Sus scrofa: one gene and its partners. Each later gene encodes a partner of the first gene's protein in a complex. Links are inferred from orthologs where the notes say so. Each region holds a gene or a part of one and is shown on either strand. Other genes may lie near its edges.

Region 1 (3,500 bases):
TGGTAGAGAAAAGTGGAAGCGCTCCAGAGGTCCATTGGGCTGCTGCATGGGTACCCAAACATGGCATAGCCGTGGATTAGAATATTCTTTAGCTGTCATAAGGGGAGAAGTACTGATACACTCCATCCTGGGTGAGCCTTGGAATTGAAGCTAAATGAAGGAAGCCAGGCACAAAGGACCACCTGTCACATGATTCCATGCGCGGGAAATGTCCAGAATAGGCAAACCCATTGCGTTAGTAGATTCGTGGTTCCTCGGAGCTGGGAGGAAAGGGGAATGGGCCATGACTGCTGATGGGTGCAGGGTTTCTCTTTGGGGTGGTGGAAATATTCTAAAGCTGATTGCGATGCTGGTCGAACAGCTCTACGAATGCATTAAAATACATTGAATTGTATGCTTGAAATGGGTGAATTGTATGGTGTGTGAATTAGATCTCAGTAGACCCCTAGCCTGGGAACCTCCATATGCCTCGGGTGCAGTTCTAAAAAGGACAGAAAGAAAAATAAATAAATAAATAAATAAAATAAAAAAGATAAAACACTAAGGAAATAAACCAGGATAGGATAAAAGTAATGTCAAATAACTACACTCTTCTTTTTTTTTTTTTGGTCTTTTTCTAGGGCTGCACCTGCCACATATGGAGGTTTCCAGGCTAGGGGTCTCATTGGAGCTACGGCTGCCGGCCTACACCACAGCCACAGCCACACCAGATCTGAGCCGCATCTGTGACCTACATCACAGCTCATGGCAATGCCAGATCCTTAACCAACTGATCGAGGCCAGGGATCAAACCTCATGGTTCCTAGTCGGATTCCTTAACCACTGAGCCATGACGGGAACTCCTACACTCTTCTATTTCGAACCCATGTCTCAAGGATATAGTTCTGCTCCCTCTGGAGGCCCAGAGAGCTTCCCCAGAGCTGTAGCTTCTGTCTGATTTCTTCTCTTTTAAGCTTACATTGACTCGATTGAAATCTGTTATCTTTGCACTGGCTCCCAGTGCACAGGTTTGATTCACAAGAAAAGGCCATGGTGTAGACACTCCTCCACCTGGCTCCGCCAGACCTCTTCTCCAGCCCCATTCTCACTAGCCAGTTTCTTAATAGGATGGGTGGAATTTTTTTTTTTTTTTTTGGTCTTTTTGCCTTTTCTAGGGCTACTCCTACGGCATATGGATGTTCCCAGGCTAGGGGTCTCATCGGAGCTGCAGCTGCCAGCCTACACCAGAGCCACAGCAACACGGGATCCGAGCTGCTAGTCTGTGACCTACACCACAGCTCACGGCAAGGCCAGATCCTTAACCCACTGAGCGAGGCCAGGGATCAAACCCGCAACCTCATGGTTCCTAGTCAGATTCTTTAACCACTGAGCCACGATGGGAACTCCCAGGATGGGCAGAATTTTGACAGGAAGAGGTGGGAGGGTGAGGATGTGTGGGGGCGGTTAGGGAGGCAGAGAGGGTGGTCTGGCAGAGGCCTGACTGGGGGAAAGAGCAGGGCGTGTTTGGTGTGGACAAGTCACCCAGTATGGCTGCAATAAGCAGTTGTGGGGAGAGGAGTGGGGACCAGGGTCGGAGGGCCCTTGAGTGCTGGCAGAGGAGGGCTTGTAGGCAAGCCTTAAGGAAGTGGCTTTGAGCAGAGGTCTGGGTTCATGTCTCCATCCAGTTTGTGTGCTTGCTGTGCCTAAAGGGGCCTCATCAGGTTGGGAATGGCCATCAGCCTAAGACTTGGGACTAGAGCAGAGGTGGGAGGTGGCTTGGTAGTGGGCCGAGGCCTTTAAGGGAATCTGGGGCCCTTGGTAACTCCCTTGAGCCAAGCTGGGTGGGTCAGCCTCAGCTCCCAGAGTCAGGTCCAAGCCCTTCTTCCTCTGCCAGGTGAGCTCCACCTGACACCTTTACATGGCATCCTGCAGCTGCGGCCCAGCTTCTCCTACCTGGATAAGGCTGACGCCAAGCACCGTGAGAGGGAGGCCGCTAATGAGGGTGAGCTCTAGACCCCCAGCCCTGCCGTGTGTCTGGATGGGCTGCTCATGGGAAAAAGTATTAAAGGGGTGGGTTACAGCATCCTCTACCCACTGGCTGTGAGTGGCCCCCACTCCCATGATTTTGACAGTGAGAAATGTCTCTGAATTCCCAAATATCTCTGGGCTGGGGTGGGGGGGTGGGGCAGAGTCACCCCTAATTTAGAACCACCGACTTAAGCAGTGGTTAATGCTCTGTCTAGCAGGAGGATTCATGGACACTGTGGTCTGAGGCCTGCCTGGTGGGTGGAGTGGAGAGCCACCACCAGAGGCTGCAAACACGGCTTTTCCCTTTGCAGCAGGAGACTCTTCACAGGACGAGGCAGAAGAAGATGTGAAGCAGATCACGGTGAGCTCAGGCCGCAAGAGAGAGCTCAGCCTCGGGGGCAGCAGGGCCGGCTTGGTAGTTCAGCCGCCTGGAGGCAGCCAGGGTTGGGAGGGTCAGCGCAGAGCTGGGCTCTGGGGGTGAAGCCGGCAGAAACAGGCCCCGTCTCTTTGTGCCTTCCTGCCGGACTGCCTGGGGGGGACAGTCTAACCTCTGCCCAGACTGAGCTGGGGGGAGTGGGAAGTTTTCCAGACGGAGGGTTCCCTGGCCTCCTGGTGGGTGCTAAGGCGGCAACCCAGGAAGTGTCCCAGGCCTCAGGTTGTGACCCTGCCCCCCTTTCCCAGGTGCGATTCTCCCGGCCGGAGTCGGAGCAGGCCCGCCAGCGGCGCGTGCAATCCTATGAGTTCCTGCAGAAGAAGCATGCCGAGGAGCCCTGGGTGCACCTGCACTACTGCGGCCTGAGGGTGAGCTGGTGCCCAGGCAGTGTGCCCTGTGGCCTGACTGACTCTAACTTATTCGAGACTCAGCTGTAGCCACTTGGTAATGCCACGGGGAGAGGGGTTACGTCTGTGGACAGTTTGTCCTCCGTTCTTGCCTTTCTACCTGGTGTGTGCTCTGAGCGAGTTGCGCCTGCTGTGTCACTGGTGGGGGTTGTGGCCACCTGGGCTCTCCTGAGGGTGAGCATCTTGCTAGGCTCAGAGTGGGCCTGGTGTTTGGTTATGTACCTTTTTGCATCATGGTTCCTGAATGAAAGCTAGATGCTTCACTGGGCGCTCCATGGAGAATTGGCCATCTGTTCCATGGCCAAGTTCACTGCATACCTGCCAAGGGTGATTTTTACTATTTTTGACTTAGAACCCAGTCCTCGGAATTGTGTATTGAGTCAGGGAAGCAACTGAATATTAGCTATAACGACTGGGAGAGAGCAGCTCCTGATTTCTCTGGAAACTTCCAGACAGATTTATGTTGACAGAGCCTTAGACTTTGGGTCAGACTTGCAGAAGCTCTGCTGTTTCCTAGTGTGTGACCTTAGGCAAGTTACTTAATCTCTCTGAGCCTCCATTTCCTTATCTGTACAATGGGAAGAAGAATAATAATACCTAACCTCGTAGTTATTTGGGGGCTGAGATGAGTTGGTCTAGGTATACAGCCCTTA
Region 2 (3,500 bases), on another chromosome or scaffold:
TTCAACAATACACAGAAAGGATCATACAGCATGATCAAATGGGATTTATTCTAAGGATGTGAAAATATTCAGTATGCACAAATAAATCAGTGTAATACATTAACAAAAGGAAGGCTAAAAATCATGTGACACTGTCAGTATGATCATGAAAAAGCATTTGACAAAATTGAACATCCATTCATAATAAAAAAAAAAAGCCTCATTGAAGTTGTTATAGAGGGAACGTGTTTTAACATAATAAAAGCCAGGGAGTTCCTTTCGTGGCTCAGTGGTAAACGAACCCTACTAAGATCCCTGAGGACATGGGTTCAATCCCTTACCTCACTCAATGGGGTTAAAGATCCAGCATTGCTGTGAGCTGTGGTGTAGGTCCCAGACAAGTCTCAGATCCCGAGTTGCTGTGGCTGTGGCGTAGGCTGGCAGCTGTAGCTCCGATTTGACCCCTAGCCTGGGAACTTCGATATGCCATGGGTGTGGCCCTAAAAAGCAAAAAACAAAAACAAAACAAAACAAAACAAAAAAAACTTTTAGAACTGAGAGTTCCCTTGTGCCTCAGTGGGTTAAAGTTCTTGTGTTGTCATTGCTGTGGCACAGGTTCAGTCTCTGGCCTAGGAACCTCCCTGTGCTGCAGGTGCATTCAAAAAAACCCTAAACTATTAGAACTAATAAATGAATTCAGTAAAGTCACAGGATCAAGATTAATATCTGGACATCTATTGCTTTTCTATACACTGATAATGAACTATCAAAAAGAGGAAACAAGAAAATCTCACTTAAAAATCACATAAAAAGAATAAAATACTTAGGAATAAACTTAACCAAGGAGGTGAAAGACCTAACTCTGAAAACTGTAAAACACTGATGAAGGAAATGGAAGATACTACAAAGAAATGGAAAGATGTCCCATGTTCATGGACTAGATATAATTAAAATATCCCTGTTACTCAAAGCAGTCTGAAGATTTAATGCAGTTCACATCAAAAATATCCAGGACAGTTTTCATGGAGCCTTCAGATTGGCCTTTGTGGTTCAATTTTTCCACTTCTGGGGCCGGAGTGGGAGGAAAGTATTGCTGTTAAGCCATTTATGTAAACCTGATTCCAGGTCATGGGTCTGCTTGGCCTTAACCCATGGAAACGGGGCTTCTCTTAGCCATACTTCCCTGAACTGCTGACAGCCCAGTGGTCAGCCATCTGGGTTCTTCCAAGTTCAGAACCAGAGAAATGCAGAAGCATGACAGACATGCTTTATTTTACTTTTGACTTGTATAAAAACAAAACTACTGCAAGCCTTTTATTCACTGGTCGACTTTTCCACCTAATTTTCATGTAACATTTCAGAAATCACACACATCAGTAAATGTTACTATTAACTTTGTAAATTTTACTTCATCACTTTCATAGACTATTTTTGCATGTTTAGCTTTTATTTGAACATTTTAGGTAAATTATTGTATTTATATTTGATACACTTAACTGAATTTGCTTGAATATGGATTTTTATTTGTTATTCTGACTTTTGTTTAAAATTCTTTAAAGCATTGATCATATAACCAAGCCAGGATCAAGCATGTAGAAAATTATTAGGTATTAATGTTTTGGGAAATGATGAGATAAAGAGCTAAGTTCTTAAAAATATATCACATGTGATACGTAGGAAGAAGCTTAAGTCTCAAGTGAGAAACTGACAAATAACTATGGGAGGTAGGATATTTTAATCCATATAAACTATTGAAGAATATATTAATGTGTTTATCATTGGATTTGATCTATCTCCCAAATAACTCACTGCTATTTTCTTTTAAAAACAAACAAACAAACAACTTTAGGGTCAGTTGGATCTCTTAAGAAGCAATACAGGCCTTCTGTATAGAATAAAGGACTCTCAGAATGCTGGGTAAGCACCTAATTTTTTATTTTAAGAAAATTTTAATATCATGAAAGGAGTATAAATCTGGGGGGTGGGGGAGCCAGTGCAGCATAAAGTAAAGCATAATGTAAATCTGTCCTACATAATCATCTCACCTCCCATCATGAGTTCCATTTCCCAGAGATAACTGCTCTTATTAATATAGTGGTATATATCTTTCTTATAGGTATATGTAAATACATATAGATGATTATATATTTATATTCCATATATTTATATATAATCTCTTATAGGTATATGTAAATACATATAGACGATTATATATTTATATTCCATATATTTATATATAATCTCTTTTCTTTTTTTTTTTTTTTTAAACAAAAATTGGATCATGCTATCCATACTGTTTTGCAACTTGTTTTTTTCACTTACTATATCATGGACATCTTTTCATTCTGGTACATACAGCCCTGTCTCATTCTTTTTAAGGTAAGCCCTTCTTTTGGTAAATCAGTAAATGTGATGACCTTGTCTGCTGATTCATTTAGTTGTGTAGATTATTAGATTATCCTGTACCTCTTTGCCTTTTTAATTCTACTTTATTCCCCTGCAGTAAAATGAAAGGATCAGATAATCAAGAGAAACTAGTATATCAAATCATAGAGGATGCGGGAAATAAAGGTAAGCATGTGCAGGAACAAGCAGAAAAAAACCATCGTCTTTAGGACCAGATATAGGAACTGAGATCCTGGCTTCCCAGGGTATGGATCAGTCAGGAGAGTATGCAGCCATTTGTGTTAAAAGGGGAAAAAAATGTAAAAAATGTGTGTGTGTGTGTGTAATGTACATAGGCTTGAAGGACACTCAGGAGTGATGCTTTTGTTGCCTGAAGGGAGACAGGGACCAGATGGCTGTGGGTAGGGATGGAAAGAAATGTCCAAATTCTGAATCATGTGAATGTATTATTCATTCAAAATAAATAAATTAAAACTTAAAACTTAAGGGCTTTTTTGTTTGTTTGTTTTAGTTGTACAATGATCATTACAACCCAATTTTATAGCATTTCTGTCCCAAACCCTCAGTGCAAACTTAAGGGTTTTTTTTTTTAATATTCACTTTCTTTTTTTTTTTTTTTTTTTTTTTGTCTTTTTAGGGCCGCAGCATCAGCATATGGAGGTTCCCAGACTAGGGGTCTAATTGGAGCTGTTGTTGCTGGCCTACGCCACAGCCACAGCAACTCAGGATCCAAGACTCATCTGTGATCTACGCCACAGCTCACGGCAATGTGGGATCCTTAACCCCTGAGTGAGGCCAGGGATCAAACCCGCAACCTCATGGTTCCTAGTTGGATTTGTTTCCGATGCGCCACAACGGGAACTCCAGTATTCACTTTCTAAATTTTAGAAACCTTTATTTCTTCCTTTCCTCTGTAAATTGTGGACAATAACATCTCTGGTTTTTGCACAAACCAGAGGATGCCTAGTGCAGTATGGCAGTGTCTGATGTAGTTTCTTCAACAGCTATTTAGTTCCTTTTCTATTGCCCTTGAAGACTATAGTAGCCCTTGCTAATATTATAATTTAAGATCTACTTGAGTCACCGATATTAGCTTCAACAATTATGATGTAACC
Region 3 (4,232 bases), about 18 Mb from region 1:
CTGGGGCCCCAGGCAAGGCTGGGGCAGGGGTGCAACATTTACCGGGGCAACAGAAGACGAATACCACTATCAAGAAAACAAACTAATTTAACATTTTCATGATGGGCAAAATACAAAGATTTAAAAACAGGAGTGTGCCAGGTCATACTGAAGCCTGAGGAGAATGGAGAAATCTTTATTATTTTTCATTTTTTTGGTTTTTTAGGGCTGCACTGGCGGCATATGAAGGTTCCAAGGCTAGGGGTCTAATCGGAGCTGTAGCCACTAGCCTACACCACAGTTCACAGCAACGCCAGATCCTTCACCCACTGAGCAAGGCCAGGGAGGGGTCGAACCTGCAACTTCATGGTTCCTAGTCGGATTCGTTAACCACTGAGCCATGATGGGAACTCCAGAAATCTTTAATACTGGTCTTTTTATCTGACATGATATCATTTTGTTTACCCTAGGTCTTTATAAACCAATGTTGAGTTTTAAAAACACTGTACTGGAGTTTCCATCCCTGGCCCCACTCAGTGGGTCAAGGATCCTGCGTTGCCCATGAGCTGTGTTGAAGGTCGCAGATGCCGCTCTGGATCCTGAGTTGCTGTGGCTGTGGTGTAGGCCAGCGGATTCCAGCCCTAGCCTGGGAATTTCCATATGCCCCAGGTGCGGCCCTAAAAAGACAAAAACAAAAAGCCGAAACAACAAAAAACCTCCTAAACCAACCAAAACACTATACTGAAATGTCATGTGTCCTGACTAGCGGGTTTTTGGCGCTCCTTTTTTATTTTTTTTTTGGCCATGCCCGCAGCATGCGAGAGTTCCTCTGCCAGTCGAACGCACGCCCAGCAGCACCCGAGCCACAGCAGTGACAATGGCGGAGTTCTTAACCGCTAGACTACCAGGGAACCCTTCGTAAATGCCGCGCCGGAGACCAGTGCCTCGCTCGCCTCCCAGGCCCAGTCGGAGCCTAGACCCTCGTTTACGCCCTGAGGCCGCTTCTGGAGGTCTCCGGGCCGCTGCCATCATCGGTACCCCAGAATCGGTCCTCTCCCTGACGCTGGGCTCCGGAGCGGGGGAAGAGGCCCCGACCCATGCGCACCTGGATCGGAAGGTCGCAGAGCAGCGGGTCCTGCACCACCATGGCCAGACCCTCTTGGAAAACGTCCACCGCCTCGGAGTGCGGCAGTGCCTCTTCCTCATCCTCCTCGTCCTCCTGCGGCTCTGGCCGTCCCGAGGCCCCCGCCACCTCCAGGGCGCCTCGCAGCCCGCGGGTTCCGCCCCCACACCGCCTCTCGCGACCCGGGCCCGGGATTCCCGGGCTTCCCGCGGGGAAAGCCACCCACGGCCCGGCCTTTGGTCGAGGGGCGGGGCTACCGCCAGGACCAATGAGAAATGATGCTTTGGGAGCCAGCCTGCCGCAGTGCACACTGGGAGTGCGGAGCCGACGTGCCTACTGGTGGGCTGATTGCTGAGAGGCGGCCGCCGGGACCAATGGGGAGTTCGGGGCGCCCGGAAGCCCCCGGAGTCCACGGCCAGGGAGCTGCAGGGAGCGTAGGCTGGGCTGTCGTGATGCTGCTCTTCTGCCCAGGCTGCGGGAACGGGCTGATTGTGGAGGAGGGTCAGCGCTGCCACCGCTTCGCCTGCAACACCTGCCCCTATGTGCACAACATCACCCGCAAGGTGGGTCCGCGCCGGCCTCCCGGCACGCAGGGCCGCAGCCGTCGTTCTCGCGGAGCGCGCCAGGCCCTGACCCTCACCTCCCCTAGCTCCGTCCTCTGCTTGGGTTTCGCGTCCCAGCAGCCTCTTGCCCGCACCGCCAGCCTCTCGGAGGCGCCCCGGTCTTGCCCAAGGCGCTGCTTCCAGGGTCTGTGCAGGAGTTTTCTGTTCTAGTCGCTCTTCCCCTAGGGACTCACTCGTTCCTGTCACTCCTGCCTGTATTTACCTAAGGGATTGTTTATATAAATGCGGCCTTTCCGTTCCCTAGTTTTATTTTTCATATAGGGCTCACTGCCTTCCAGTATACTTTCTTTTCTTTCTTTCTTTTTGTTTGTTTAGTTTTTGTTTTGGCCGCGCCCCCGGCACCCTGGCATGCACAAGTTCCTTGTGCTGGGGACGTGGCTCGGATCGTCATTGTCGAAAAATGAGGCACGTGAACACGGGGAGATCTCGACAAGGCTCTTTACTGCTGCAGAAGGGCGCTGGGCACCCCAAAAAGTGCGCGTGCCCCGAACAAAGGACCCTCCCCTGTTTATCCCTAACACAGGGGATGTACCCTGTCCCCTTCCCGTGGGTCAGGTCAGGGTGCACGTTCTTCCCAGTTGGCTAATTTGAAACAAACTGTTACTGGGAGAAGAGGGAAGGGGGGGGGGTTGCAGGAAGGCATTTCAGCAAAATGGAGTCACCAAGATTTCTTTTGCTTATGTCGCTTTCCACACCTGCAAACCTGCACCACAGCAGCGACAGAACCGGGACAGAACCAGGGCGGTAACCCGCTGAGCCAGCAGGGAACTCCCAAGTGCTACTTTCTCCTTAGTATTTGTATAGATTTGTATAGTGTCCTGCCATGTGGCCGTGTTGTGGGAGTTTAGGGTCTGAAACGACGCGGAGGGTGGACTCTTACCTACCCCGACAGGTCAAGGACGGCTGGTAGAACCTGGCAAGTGCTTAGAAAGCTCTGCCCGGAGCCTGGGGGGGGGGGGCGGCTCCCCGGCTGAGATTGCCCTTCTTTGGCCTCAGTTCTCTGGGGCCTCGTCTCGGGCTACCCAGCCTTAGGGGGTGTGGGAGAAGAGGAGGGCCATACCCGAGCCATGCTTCTCTTGCTCCTCTTGCTTTGTCCAGTCCTTGCAGAGACCTTCTCTTGGGGCAGTCCAATCATGGGTCCTCTAAGTTCTGATGGAGCAGGGCCTCTGCCTGTCCAGTACCCCTCCCGTCCGGGTTGAAGGGTGGAAGAAGCCAGACACCTGCGGGCAGGTGTGGTTAGGTGATCCTGGGGTGTGCGGTTCAGTCAGTTGGAGAGACTGAAGAGTGGCTGTTGTTTGTTAGGTAACGAATCGGAAGTACCCAAAGCTGAAAGAAGTGGATGACGTGCTTGGTGGAGCAGCTGCCTGGGAGAACGTCGACTCCACCGCAGGTGAGAGGGAGAGGCCTGTTCCCGGGCAGAGCTGTGGATGGTACGGGGCTGCTGACTCTGCCCCTCCGTGGCAGTCTGCTTGTGCTTCTGCGAAGAGGAAGTCTATATTTTCTTCCTTAATAATTTCTTAGAAATTTTTATTTATTCATGTGGTGGTTTTTTTGGTTTGTTTGTTTTTTGCTTTTTAGGGCCCCACCCACGGCATATGGAGGTTCCCAGGCTAGGGGTCTAATCAGAGCTGCAGCCGCTGGCCTCCACCCCAGCCACAGCAAGGCCAGATCCTTTACCCACTGAGTGAGACCAGGGATTGAACCCACAACCTCATGGTTCCTAGTCGGATTCGTTTCCGCTGCGCCACAACAGGAACTCCTTCCTTGATACTTTCTTTGTTCCAAAACCAGTGTCGGCACAAGCTTTGGAGCTGTTCAGACCTGATTTCGAATCTTGAGGTGGCTTACTGCCTTATGACCGTGACCTTTCTGGGCTACCTCCACATGCCACAAGTTCCCCGGCCAGGGACTTGGTCCGCGCCGCAGCCGCAACCCAGGCCGCTGCAGTCGGATTCTTCAGCCTCTGTGCCACACTGGGCATCCTTTTTGAAGTAACCGTGGGTCCCTTGTTTTTCTCACGCCAGAGCCGTGTCCCAAGTGTGAGCATCCTCGGGCCTATTTCATGCAGCTCCAGACCCGCTCTGCCGACGAGCCCATGACCACCTTCTACAAGTGCTGCAATGCTCAGTGTGGACACCGCTGGAGGGACTAGGGCCGGGTGGCCCCGCTGCCCAGCATCTGCTCACCTCATTCCCCAGGGCGGATTCCCAGCTGGAAGGGAACTGCGGGTTCTGAGCATCTTTGCCGGTGTGGCAGAAAGCCAGCCTTCTCAGAGTGGCCCGGCCGGGGGGCCAGGAGATGGCCCCCATCGCCCAGGCAGTGGATGAATTTGCTGACGTCCAGGGAGAACTTGTGTTTGGGGGCAGTGGCCACACCAAGTGCGTCTTATTTAGGGTCCTGTTATCCATCTTTCCCGTTTAGTGGGCAGTGAGCTTTCTCTCGCCACCAGCTGACGCTCGTAAACATTTATTTATATGTTGGCACACCCAAGAAAATGGGGCTTTGAC
Region 4 (3,007 bases), on another chromosome or scaffold:
AGTTCTAATACGTGATCTCGAACAAAAAGGTAAAGCAACGGTAAACTGAAAGGACTTCACCTCATCAAGCAAGTGAAAAGATGCTCGACTTAGGATTGGGGGTTCTGCTTCTCATGATGTACTTGTTGGCTCATTAAATTCTCCATACAGTTGGAACGGAGTGGTGTGGGAAAGTAAGACCAGTTCTCGGAGGCAGGGAAGTGAGTGGTTTTATTTTGCCCCTTCTCTTTTCCAGGCCCAAGGAAGAAGTAGCAGTCAAGAAGGAAAAGCGTGAAAGGGATAGAGACCGACAGCGAGAGGGCCATGGAAGGGGCCGGGGGCGCCCAGAAGTGATCCAGTCCCACTCCATCTTTGAGCAGGGCCCAGCTGAAATGATGAAGAAGAAGGGTACAAAGCTGCCGGGGCTCTGGGAGGAAGGAATCAGTGGCTTTCAGGTCCAGCTGCCCACGAGGAGGGCAAGGGCAGTGGCATTCCCCTGCTTGCTCCCAGTTAGCTCTCCTTGCTGTTGGCCTCTTCTTTACTTCTTGCATCATTTCCCACAGGGAACTGGGATAAGACCGTGGACATGTTGGCCTTGCTGTTGGCATGTTGGACATGCCTCCTTGCTGTTGGCCCCTTCTTTACTACTTGCGTCATTTCCCACAGGGAACTGGGATAAGACCGTGGACATGTCAGACATTGGGCCCTCTCACATCATCAACATCAAAAAGGAGAAGAGGGAGACGGACGAAGAAACAAAACAGATCCTGCGTATGCTGGAGAAGGATGATGTAGGTACCATCAGGCTAGGGGGAAGGGGCTTCTGGGGAGCCAGGTCGGGGAGAAGAGAGCTCTGATGTCCTGAAAGCCCCGTGAGTAGCAGGAATCTTCAATTAGGAAAAGGCTAAGGTGGGGAGTTCTCAGTCGTGGCTTAGTGGTTAGTGAACCCGGATAGCATCATGAGGACATGGATTGGTCCCTGGCCTTGCTCAGTGGGTTAAGGATCCAACATTGCCATGAGCTGTGATGTAGGTTGCAAATGCAGCTCAGATCTTGCGTTGCTGTGGCTGTGGTGTAGGCCTCGGCTACAGTTCCGATTGGACCGCTAGCCTGGGAACCTCCATATACCACAAGTGTGGCCCTAAAAGGCAAAAAGACCCCCCCCCCAAAAAAAAGGCTAAGGTGGGGGAAAAAAGGGGCGAACGTGGACTGCACTCCAGGCAAATGTGTTTGCGGGCCTGGCTGTGTGACCCTTGGCTCCTCTTTGACAGTTCATCGATGACCCTGGCCTAAGGAATGACACTCGAAATACACCTGTGCAACTGCCACTGGCTCACTCAGGCTGGCTTTTTAAGGAAGAGGATGAAGAAGCAGATGTTAAACCCTGGCTTCCTGGCCACAAGGAAGAGGACATGGATGTGGACGGGCCTGCTGTGAAAGGTACTCTGTGTCAGTTAATGTCTCCTTTCCTTTTCTGTGCCTGCCCCACCCCCTCTCTGGGAATGAGCCTCCCAGACCAACTCATAAGGCAGTCCAGCCGTCAATACAGGACCTGGCCACGGGCACTAAATTCTCACTCTCAGCAGGTTCCTGGCAACAGGAGTTGGTGGGCCCAGCCTCAGATACCTCTTTTTATGTAACTCCTGGATCCTTCTCTGTAAACAGAGTTTCCTTCCAGCTTCCTGGCTGAATGACAGTGGAGCAGACCGAGGCGAAGGGGTGGGTGCAGTGAGATCATGGGTGATGGCCACTTGATAGCACTTCCATTTCTGTTGTCTTGGGCAGTGAAAGAAGAACCACGAGATGAGGAGGAGGAGACCAAGGTGAAGGCTCCTCCCAGAGCCACCCGGAAGACCCCGAGCCTACCGAAGGACGTGTCTGTGGCAGAGCTGCTCAGGGAGCTGAGCCTCACACAGGAGGAAGAGCTGCTGTTCCTGCAGCTGCCAGACTCGCTCCCTGGCCAGCCACCCACTCAGGACATCAAGCCTGTCAAGACGGAGGTGCAGGGCGAGGATGGCCAGATGGTGGTTATAAAGCAGGAGAAAGACCGGGTATGCTCGGGAATGAGTTCTGTGAAGATGCGGGGGCACTGAGAGGGGACACAACCACCCTTAGGGGAAGCAAAGGTGTGCCTCCTGTCCTGAAATGGGAGAACAGTATGCATTTGTTCTTTCTGCATGTAGGGGCCTTGGGGCTTTGCACTTCAACCCCAATTGTATGTGTTTCCTTTTCACAATGGAATATTTTGAACATACACAAATGAGAGAACGTAAATTCTTGTGTACTATCACCCAGCTGCAGCAGTTGCTGGTATTTTGCTCCTTTGCTGGTGTTTGCTGTGGGTGGGGTTTGGTTTTTTGACCAATGGCAGGCAGCTCCAGGAAAAGGCCCTCTTTGGGGAGCTCCCCCCCCCTTTTTTTGTCTTTTTAGGGCCACATCCGCAGCATATGGAGGTTCCCAGGCTAGGGGTTGAATCGGAACTGTAGCTGCCAGTCTAGCCACAGCCACGCCAGATCCAAGCCATGTCTGTGACCTATATACCACAGCTTACGGCAAAGGCAGATCCTTAACCCACTGAGTGAGGCCAGGGATTGAACCTGCATCCTCATGGATACCAGTGAGATTCATTTCCGCTGTGTTATGACAGGAACTCCCTGGGGAGCTCCTTCTCACCTTTGCTGCTGCTGCCTTCCTGTAGGAAAGGGTTCATTATTGAAGGATGGAAGAGACGGCTCCTTACCTGGTTTCCATCCCCTGGTTGTCTTCATAGGAAGCCCGCCTGGCAGAGAACACCTGTACCCTGGCTGACCTGACAGAGGGCCAGGTTGGCAAGCTGCTCATCCGCAAGTCAGGGAAGGTGCAGCTCCTCCTGGGCAAGGTGACTCTGGACGTGACGATGGGAACCGCCTGCTCTTTCCTGCAGGTGAGGGCCCGCCAGGTCTCTCTGAGGCTCTTTAAGACATTGAGGATGGTTAAGGAATTGGTGTGGAACATGGGGAGGAAGGGAAGTGTTCAAATCATAGGGCTG
Region 5 (4,188 bases), on another chromosome or scaffold:
GCATCAAACTAAGGCTTAGAAAAACACCTAAAAAGTCTTTCAAATGAGCCCTTTTCAAGAGCACTTTGAAGTGAGGACTTGAGATGGTAGGGAGAAAAGATACAGTAAGTGGAGGAAAGTTAGACTGTTTTCTCACTCTCAAAGGCAAACGGTGAACAGCAACTTAAAGATCAGAATAGCCAAGGCCTCACTGTTCATTAGGGCATCACATTCAACATGTCACTCATCACACATGCACTGGCTGAATTCCAGACTCCCTCTCTGTGGTAAGGAAGAGTTCTGGAGCCTCCAATGTCCACTGGAAAAACAAACAAACAAACAAACAAGCCACGGCACCTGCTCTTCTCAGCACTGAAGTATAGCAAAAAGCACACAGACACAGACACACAGCCAAATCATCCAAGCAAAACTAAAAGAGCGTGTAGATGAAACTACGACCATGAAGTTAGGGGTGGGGCAAATAGAGAAGAAAGAAAATACAGCAAAAGCCTGAAAAAGCACAACTCAAGTGAAAAGGCTAAAATACTGTTTAGGCACTTTTCACTGGACTCCACTGGTGTTTCTAAGAACTAAGACACAGAGACACACTTTAATAGGCTTTCTCACAGATTGTATCTGAGACACTATAAACACTGAGATAAGTAGTTACACAGACACCCTCTTAAGGCTGAACAAAGATACTTCTAAGGAAAAGAACAACCATAACTAGTTCTAAAGATGGTTGGCCAAAGGTAGGATTAACATTCACCCTGGTGGATCTCCCTGCAGTAGTAACTCAACCTAAAACAGCCTCTGGGCTTGGGGTGCAATAGCTGGCAAGCATGCTGCAGAAGCACTTTTTTTCCACAGCCAACAGCACTACCTCTCTAGGGGCTAACACAGTCTGGCAGAAACTGACGAAAACCAATTTTACGTCAGAGGATGCAGTCCCCAACATTCTGTCCTAGATCTTCTCACTAAGTGAAGAGAGAGAATGGGGGAGGGGAAGGAGGGGCGGGTAAGGCAGGTGGTGCTAAAGATACTGGCAGCATGACAACCAAAATAAGAGAGTTGAAAGAATATGTTCTGCCTTCTTCCTAAAGCCATTTCCTTCGACAGTGATTGGGATCGCAGTCCGCAAGTCATTAGTACACCGCTGTTTTCACTTTCACAAGAACGCTGGAAACCCCTGAAGAGTAAAATCCCCCTCTCTGCCCAGTTACCTTCCAACCCTCCCTCCCCCCCCCGCCCCGCTTTCTTCCCTCCTTCCCTAGAGACAATGAATAAAGACAATCCTCAGCAATCCGCTATATTGCTTCAATGAGGATAGTGGAAGGGGAGATCTGATGAAAAGTGGAAAAGGAAATAAAGATGAGAAGCAACAGCGGAAGGGGGGGGGAGGTCATTGTGGAAAGAGACAAGGTGAAGAAGAATGTAAGAAAACGGAGAGGAGGGGGTCAGCAGAAAACTTGCTAAGGAAAACCAGGAAAAAAAAAATAATAGAGGGCAGGTAAAAAGGGGAAAGAGTGAGGGACAGGTGGAGCATCCGAATGGAAAAAAGGCTGGGCGGGAGTTACTGAGCCACACAGCCCGGACGCCCGGGGTTTAGGAGACAGTGGGCAGCAGGTACCTGGGATACCCATGTCAGGGGAGTCGGGGCTGTGCGGGAAGCCTAAGCGCCGTTCTGGGACATCCGGACGAGGAACCCACGCGGACGCTGGCGTGCAGAGGACACACACTCTTACCGGTAGTTTGGGGCTGACCTCGCCCTTGCAAAAGTGGCAGAAAAACCGGTGCGCGGCAACAGCGGCGCCTGCGCCGGCCCCGGCCGCCGAGGCCTCCGCCATTTTTCTCTCCCGGCGCCGCCGTCCGAGAGGGCAGCCGGCCCGTCGCTCCCCAGGCCGCTACCTCCCGGCTACAAGAGACGCCTCTGCCTCCGCCGCCGCCGCTTCTTCAGCGCAGCTGGCCGCTCCAGAGTCCGCGCGGGTCACGTGAGCCCGCCCGGCCCACAAGGCGTCGGCGAGGACGGCGACCCCACGGCCCGCCTCCCGGCACCAAAGAGCTACAGGAAGGAGAGTCCGTCCGGCGCTGCCCTCCCGCCGGCTCCTCTAACACCCCTCGCCGGTCCTCCAACCTCCCAGCGAGAAGGAAGCAAGAGCGTCCCCGGAAACCACCGAAACGCTGGGGTAGAGCGGCACACGTTTTTCCTCTTTGCTGACCCTCCTCGTTGGCCGGGCTCCTGCGCAAAAGGGCCTTGGGGTGCCTTCTGCTCGAGCCGCTGGCTGGAGCCGCACGAGGTCGGCGGCGGCTTTAGATTGCATTGACCCAGAGGTTAGTGGAAAATGCGGTCTGAATGAGGCCGTTTCTCTAGACCCAGGGACCCAGTCCGGAACCGGAACCTGGGGGAAGGAAGTGTAGAATCAGGAGCCAGGTTCCTTGGAAATCCTTATCAAGGATGGCAGATGGTCTGGGGATACTTCCCCAAAGACCTGTGAGTGGGAATACTGAGACTGAAAGACACAGTCTTGGCTTCTGAGGGATTGGGAGAAATAAATGAACAGACCAGTGTGTGGTAGCACTTATGACAACAAGTGATTTTATAGTCAACTATGTTTGTTTCTTTTTGTGTCTACTTTGTCAAGGAGTAGAAATTTCAGAATACTGCCCTGCCAACAACATGCTTCATCTGTTGTTTGAAACACTCTGTTGAGACGCTCCTAATTTATTTTGCAAAGTTGTCATTTCTTACGGATTGGGAATGACACTTCCTGTTCACTCCCAATAGGCTGTGAATAGTGTCCTTAATTCCTCCAAATAAAATCATCTACACACGATATTTAAAGAAAATTGGACTCGTACATCCCATAAGGATAAGTTTGATATATTGTCTTGCAGTCTTTTTTTTCTTATACCTATAAGAAAAAAGGGGGTTTTTTTTTCACAATAATTTAAGTTTCTTCTACATTTTGCTTTGTAACCTGCTTCTTTCACTTAATGAACAATTTTGTACACTAATACATGTTACACTTCATTGTAAACATAGACGTAGTATGCCATTGTATGAGTCTACCATAATTTATTGAAATAATCCCGTATTGTTAGATATTATATTGTTTCTGGAATGTCAGTATTCTAAAGTGACATCATTATTATTCGCTTGAAACAAAATAGCCAAAGCAAAAGTATTAGGTCAAAGATATGCAAGATTTTAAGGCTTTTGACGTATCTACTGTCAAGTTGCCCTCCAAAAAGTACATGAATTTACACTTAGCAGCTCTACTCCAACATAAAAGAAAAACTTCCCATCGTGCTATTTTTTCTTTTCTTTTCTTTTCTTTTCTCAGGTCTGAGACTTCTCAGTACAATGACTCAAGCAGAAATTAAACTGTGTTCTTTATTGCTGCAAGAGCATTTTGGAGAGATTGTAGAAAAAATTGGAGTCCACCTAATCAGAACTGGCAGCCAGCCACTAAGAGTTATTGCCCATGACACAAGAACATCGCTGGATCAGGTATGTTTGGATCACACTAATTTGCTTTTATTTCATTAGTTTCCTTTACCTACCCTTGAATATTACTACTCCCCACCCCACAAAATACAAAAGAGAGCTACACTGAGATCAGAACAGTGTCATTGGGAGGGAGAGAGGATGAGACATAGTGCCTAAGGTTCTGCTTCTCAAAGCGATCTGGCTCACTGTGGCTTCTTAGGCAAACCTGTGCTTTTCATTTGCCATACTTCATTCATGCATGATGAGTCTATTAATTTCAGCACTACCTTTAAGGAATGGCAGTAACAGAGAGCAAGTAAGTTGTACTTTGTAAGATAAAGATCAGAGGAAATATGAGCTAGGAATCCTCCTGATTTCTTCATAAGATGAACAATGCGATTCTTAACAGCTATTCCAATGGAGAGAGAGAAGATGCACGGAGGTTCCAGCCATCTCCTGAAGTTTAGTAAATTGTTGGACAGAAATTGCCAACAATAATGAACTGCATTTTCCAATTTTTTTTTCTCTTTCTTTTGTGTCCTCTCTAGGTTAAAAAAGCCCTTTGTGTCCTCATCCAGCATAACCTGGTGATATATCAAGTGCACAAACGTGGTGTGGTGGAGTATGAAGCCCAGTGCAGCCGGGTGTTGCGAATGCTTAGGTATCCCCGGTACATCTATACTGCCAAAACGCTGTACAGTGACACTGGAGAGCTGATT
Region 6 (3,500 bases), on another chromosome or scaffold:
TTAATTAACTATTTTAATATCTCTTTTGTCTATATTTAAAAAATGTCAGTTTTATTGAAAAATCACATTTTACAGGTAGTAAGTTCTTCAGCCAACCTAAAAGATTTTGAGCTTTTATAATCTATAATCTATTTAATTTTGTAATCTTTTCACCCATTTCCTACTTTCTGCTTATTTTAGAAGTAGGAAAGATACTTAGTTTTCTATCTCCCCTAGTTTTCTTCCTGATCACACCAATAACCATTCTGTTATATAGTCTTTTGACTGTGCTTCTATATTTAAAAATCAAGGCACCCAAATAAGAGCAACTGCTGTAGAGTCCTATTAATCTCAATCAGTAGTAGTGCTACTGGGAGAAGCAATAGCATTAAAAAAAAAAGAAAAAAAGAAAGAAAGAAAGAAATAGTAGCAGATACCATTTAACCAGTGGTTACTACAACCTGGATATACTTAATATTCAAAATTCATGTTCTCATGTAAAGTATCATCAATATTTCCCCTTTTACAGTGAGAAAAATGAGAACTGAATAATCCATAAGCTCACATAACACATAAATGGCAAAGGAGAAATTTGAATCTGTATCTTCAATTTTAAAAAATTACATTCATGCACGCATATGTATACATGTATGTATATATACTCATAATATACATTCATAAAAAAGTGGGTCTTCAGGGTACATAATGAAAACATTTCTGGTTTTAAAGGCTAAGTATAGGGTACATTTAAAAATTTCACTCTGAATTTATTCATTCATTCTACAATTATTTACTGAGTTCCTACTATAAGCCACACATGGCTGGACAACAGGAGACACCACGATGAACTCCTCAAAGTTCTTGCCTGCATGAAATTTACATTCTAGGGAAGAAAAACACAGTAGGAAGTAAACAAATGAGGTCATACATAACTTCAGATAGTGCTAAGTGGCATAAAAGGACTGAAGCCAGGAAGAGGAAAGAGCGACTGACAGAGTACATGGAAGAGGCTGGTCTAGGCAGAGTAAGCACCCATCCTCTTGGGGAAGTCATGCTCGAGCAGAGATCTGGATAAAATTAAGAAATGCGAAACCAGTGGTTCCAGCCAGGGAAACCAGCAGAGGAAAATGCCTAAGGGGACGAAGAGACTAGGATGGCTAAGGAGAGAAGGACAGTGGTAGGAAAAGGGTCAGAGAAAAATCAGAAAGGCCAGAGCAGATAAAGCCCTTTAAGCCAGTAATAAGGAATTTCAATTTTACTCCATATATAAAATGACAATATGCACCAACATTCCCAGGCTTTAGAAGTAATCTCCCACATGAAAAGGAACTTATTTTAAAAGAAGTCAGTGTAAACTGACATTATGTCTATACCTGAGGTAATTATCTTTGTTTTTAGGCTGTACTGAATATCAAAAAGGCAAAATATCAAGAGCAAAAAGTATACACTCCCTATGTGAAACATCTAGATCCCTAATATGTTTGTCCAGGGTCCTCTACTTACATAAATCTTTCAATAAAGGATGTTTCCTTTTGAAAGAGGGAAAAGATTCTTGGAGGGAGTACTGGGTTATTTATGATTTTTTTCATATTTTATACTATAGCAAATATGCATCTAATAAGATAAGCTTACTTTTTTTTTTGCTGCGCCTATGGTATGTGGAAGTTCCCAAGCCAGGGATCAAACTCACACCACAGCAGTGACCCAAACTGCTACAGTGACAATGTCAGATGCTTAACCCATTGCACCACAAGGAAACTCCCTGTAAGCTTACATTTTAAACTAAAGTGAAAGCACTAGATTAAAAATGATGCCAATTAAGTATGCAGTATACTCATTACTAAATGTAATAGATGTGCTTATGTTTTGATAAACAGTAATAAAATTCAAACTGACTTTAATAAAATAAGGAAGAAAAAAAAAAAAAGTTCAGTGGGGAAAAAAGGCCAAGTGGTATACTAGGAAACAAAGTTAAATTTATGGATACAAGATGAGAAGAAAAATCATTAAATGAAGGTCAGACATAATGGGAAGTAAGGACCACTGTAAGATCTAACTGTATTTTTAAAAATATTCTGACATTGGAATGTATCATTAATAGCACTAGAAGATATAAGAATTGAGAAACAAATTCTTTCTTAATTCACAAAATACTGAATATATTCAGGGAAAGGTATATATAGGTTTTTGAATTTTTTTTTTTTTTTGTCTTTGCCTTTTCTAGGGCCTCTCCTGCGGCATATGGAGGTTCCCAGGCTAGGGGTCTAATCAGAGCTGTAGCCTCCAGCCTATGCCACAGCCACAGCAATGCAGGATCTGAGCCTCATCTGCGACCTACACCACAGCTCACAGCCAATGCCGGATCATGAACCCACTAAGGAAGGCCAGGGATCAAACCCACAACCTCATGGTTCCTAGTCGGATTCGTTAACCACTGAGCCAAGATGGGAACTCCAGTTTTTTGTATTTTAAGAAAGCATGCTGATAATTTGAAGTGGTTCAGTAGACTTGTGGCTGCCAGGAGGGGGCTGGGAGAAGGATGGAGTGGAAGATCGGTGGTAGCAAATGTAAACTATTATACATGGAGGGGATAAACAAGAAGATCCTGCTATAGAGCACAGAGAACTATATTCAATGTCCTATGATAAACCATAATAGAAAAGAGTATTTTCTAAAAAAGAGTGCATATATGTATAACTGAATCACTCTGCTGTACAGCAGAATACACTGTAAATCAACTATACCTCAATTTAAAAAAATTAAATGCAATAAATAAAGGAGTTCCCTGGTGGCTTAGTGGGTTAAGGATTCAGCACTGTCACTGCCATGGCTCAATTGTTGCTATGGTGTGGGATCCATCCTTGGCCTGGGCATGCTTTTAAAAAAAAAAAAAAAAAAAGGAAGAAAGAAAGAAAAAGGAAAGGTTCAGAAAACAGTGAATAAATTCAAAGGTAAGTGAAACATATCCTCCTTTACTCTTTTATATTCTCTTCTTTTCCTTGTAAGAGGGTAAGAAGATAACATAACGATATACATTCAAGTCCTATATACAATTTAAATTTTGTCTGAAACATGAAAAGACATTCTGAGAATTTCGCTGTTAATGTACTTACAGGAAATAGTGGAGGTGGTTTCAATACAACATCGGGTAACTTTTCACCTCTGCTAAATCCAACTGCCTCGATGTTAAACGTATAAGCAGCACGTCCTCTTCCTTTATTCCCAGCCATTGGAAATTGTTATACCAGAAAAGTAGGCAAATTCTGAAAGACATTATCAATGATTAAGATTTGATGGATCACATGAAAAATGAAACCAACATCTTAAAACAAAATACACTTCACTCCTTAAACAGCATGGCCCATTTGAAACATTTCTGGAAAGCACACCTTGTAAAGGCATAAATATGTGATATGCTGATCCCTGATCCTGTCACATCTAGTCATGTTTGGTAGGTAAGATGATGATGGACTCAACTACTTCACCTACATCCTGGGTAGAGGGCTGACCCTGGGTCTCCT

What was found.
Region 2: POLR3E (region 1) and POLR3F share a complex: the UniProt entries of both Homo sapiens proteins name them as parts of the RNA polymerase III complex. The link is inferred for Sus scrofa from reciprocal best matches to the Homo sapiens genes POLR3E and POLR3F.
Region 3: POLR3E (region 1) and POLR3K share a complex: the UniProt entries of both Homo sapiens proteins name them as parts of the RNA polymerase III complex. The link is inferred for Sus scrofa from reciprocal best matches to the Homo sapiens genes POLR3E and POLR3K.
Region 4: POLR3E (region 1) and POLR3D share a complex: the UniProt entries of both Homo sapiens proteins name them as parts of the RNA polymerase III complex. The link is inferred for Sus scrofa from reciprocal best matches to the Homo sapiens genes POLR3E and POLR3D.
Region 5: POLR3E (region 1) and POLR3C share a complex: the UniProt entries of both Homo sapiens proteins name them as parts of the RNA polymerase III complex. The link is inferred for Sus scrofa from reciprocal best matches to the Homo sapiens genes POLR3E and POLR3C.
Region 6: POLR3E (region 1) and POLR3G share a complex: the UniProt entries of both Homo sapiens proteins name them as parts of the RNA polymerase III complex. The link is inferred for Sus scrofa from reciprocal best matches to the Homo sapiens genes POLR3E and POLR3G.

What each region holds. Positions count from the first base shown.
Region 1 is NC_010445.4:23,863,632-23,867,131, reverse strand, and holds part of POLR3E (DNA-directed RNA polymerase III subunit RPC5), read left to right. Parts: intron 1-1,873; coding exon 1,874-1,981; intron 1,982-2,318; coding exon 2,319-2,368; intron 2,369-2,688; coding exon 2,689-2,808; intron 2,809-3,500. UniProt on the Homo sapiens protein: DNA-dependent RNA polymerase catalyzes the transcription of DNA into RNA using the four ribonucleoside triphosphates as substrates.
Region 2 is NC_010459.5:26,725,839-26,729,338, forward strand, and holds part of POLR3F (DNA-directed RNA polymerase III subunit RPC6), read left to right. Parts: intron 1-1,828; coding exon 1,829-1,896; intron 1,897-2,337; coding exon 2,338-2,358; intron 2,359-2,482; coding exon 2,483-2,550; intron 2,551-3,500. UniProt on the Homo sapiens protein: DNA-dependent RNA polymerase catalyzes the transcription of DNA into RNA using the four ribonucleoside triphosphates as substrates.
Region 3 is NC_010445.4:41,570,297-41,574,528, forward strand, and holds the start of POLR3K (DNA-directed RNA polymerase III subunit RPC10), read left to right. Parts: upstream 1-1,432; 5' UTR 1,433-1,476; coding exon 1,477-1,665; intron 1,666-3,027; coding exon 3,028-3,115; intron 3,116-3,749; coding exon 3,750-3,877; 3' UTR 3,878-4,232. UniProt on the Homo sapiens protein: Core component of RNA polymerase III (Pol III) which synthesizes small non-coding RNAs using the four ribonucleoside triphosphates as substrates. Can mediate Pol I proofreading of the nascent RNA transcript.
Region 4 is NC_010456.5:6,524,013-6,527,019, forward strand, and holds part of POLR3D (DNA-directed RNA polymerase III subunit RPC4), read left to right. Parts: intron 1-235; coding exon 236-770; intron 771-1,250; coding exon 1,251-1,419; intron 1,420-1,764; coding exon 1,765-2,030; intron 2,031-2,749; coding exon 2,750-2,902; intron 2,903-3,007. UniProt on the Homo sapiens protein: DNA-dependent RNA polymerase catalyzes the transcription of DNA into RNA using the four ribonucleoside triphosphates as substrates.
Region 5 is NC_010446.5:99,491,338-99,495,525, reverse strand, and holds the start of POLR3C (DNA-directed RNA polymerase III subunit RPC3), read left to right. Parts: upstream 1-1,388; 5' UTR 1,389-1,724; coding exon of another isoform or gene 1,725-1,826; 5' UTR 1,827-2,310; exon of another isoform or gene 2,311-2,354; intron 2,355-3,318; exon of another isoform or gene 3,319-3,323; 5' UTR 3,324-3,343; coding exon 3,344-3,490; intron 3,491-4,017; coding exon 4,018-4,188. Other genes in the region: E3 ubiquitin-protein ligase RNF115, read right to left, coding at 1,725-1,826. UniProt on the Homo sapiens protein: DNA-dependent RNA polymerase catalyzes the transcription of DNA into RNA using the four ribonucleoside triphosphates as substrates.
Region 6 is NC_010444.4:97,658,256-97,661,755, reverse strand, and holds part of POLR3G (DNA-directed RNA polymerase III subunit RPC7), read right to left. Parts: intron 3,243-3,500; 5' UTR 3,210-3,242; coding exon 3,093-3,209; intron 1-3,092. UniProt on the Homo sapiens protein: DNA-dependent RNA polymerase catalyzes the transcription of DNA into RNA using the four ribonucleoside triphosphates as substrates.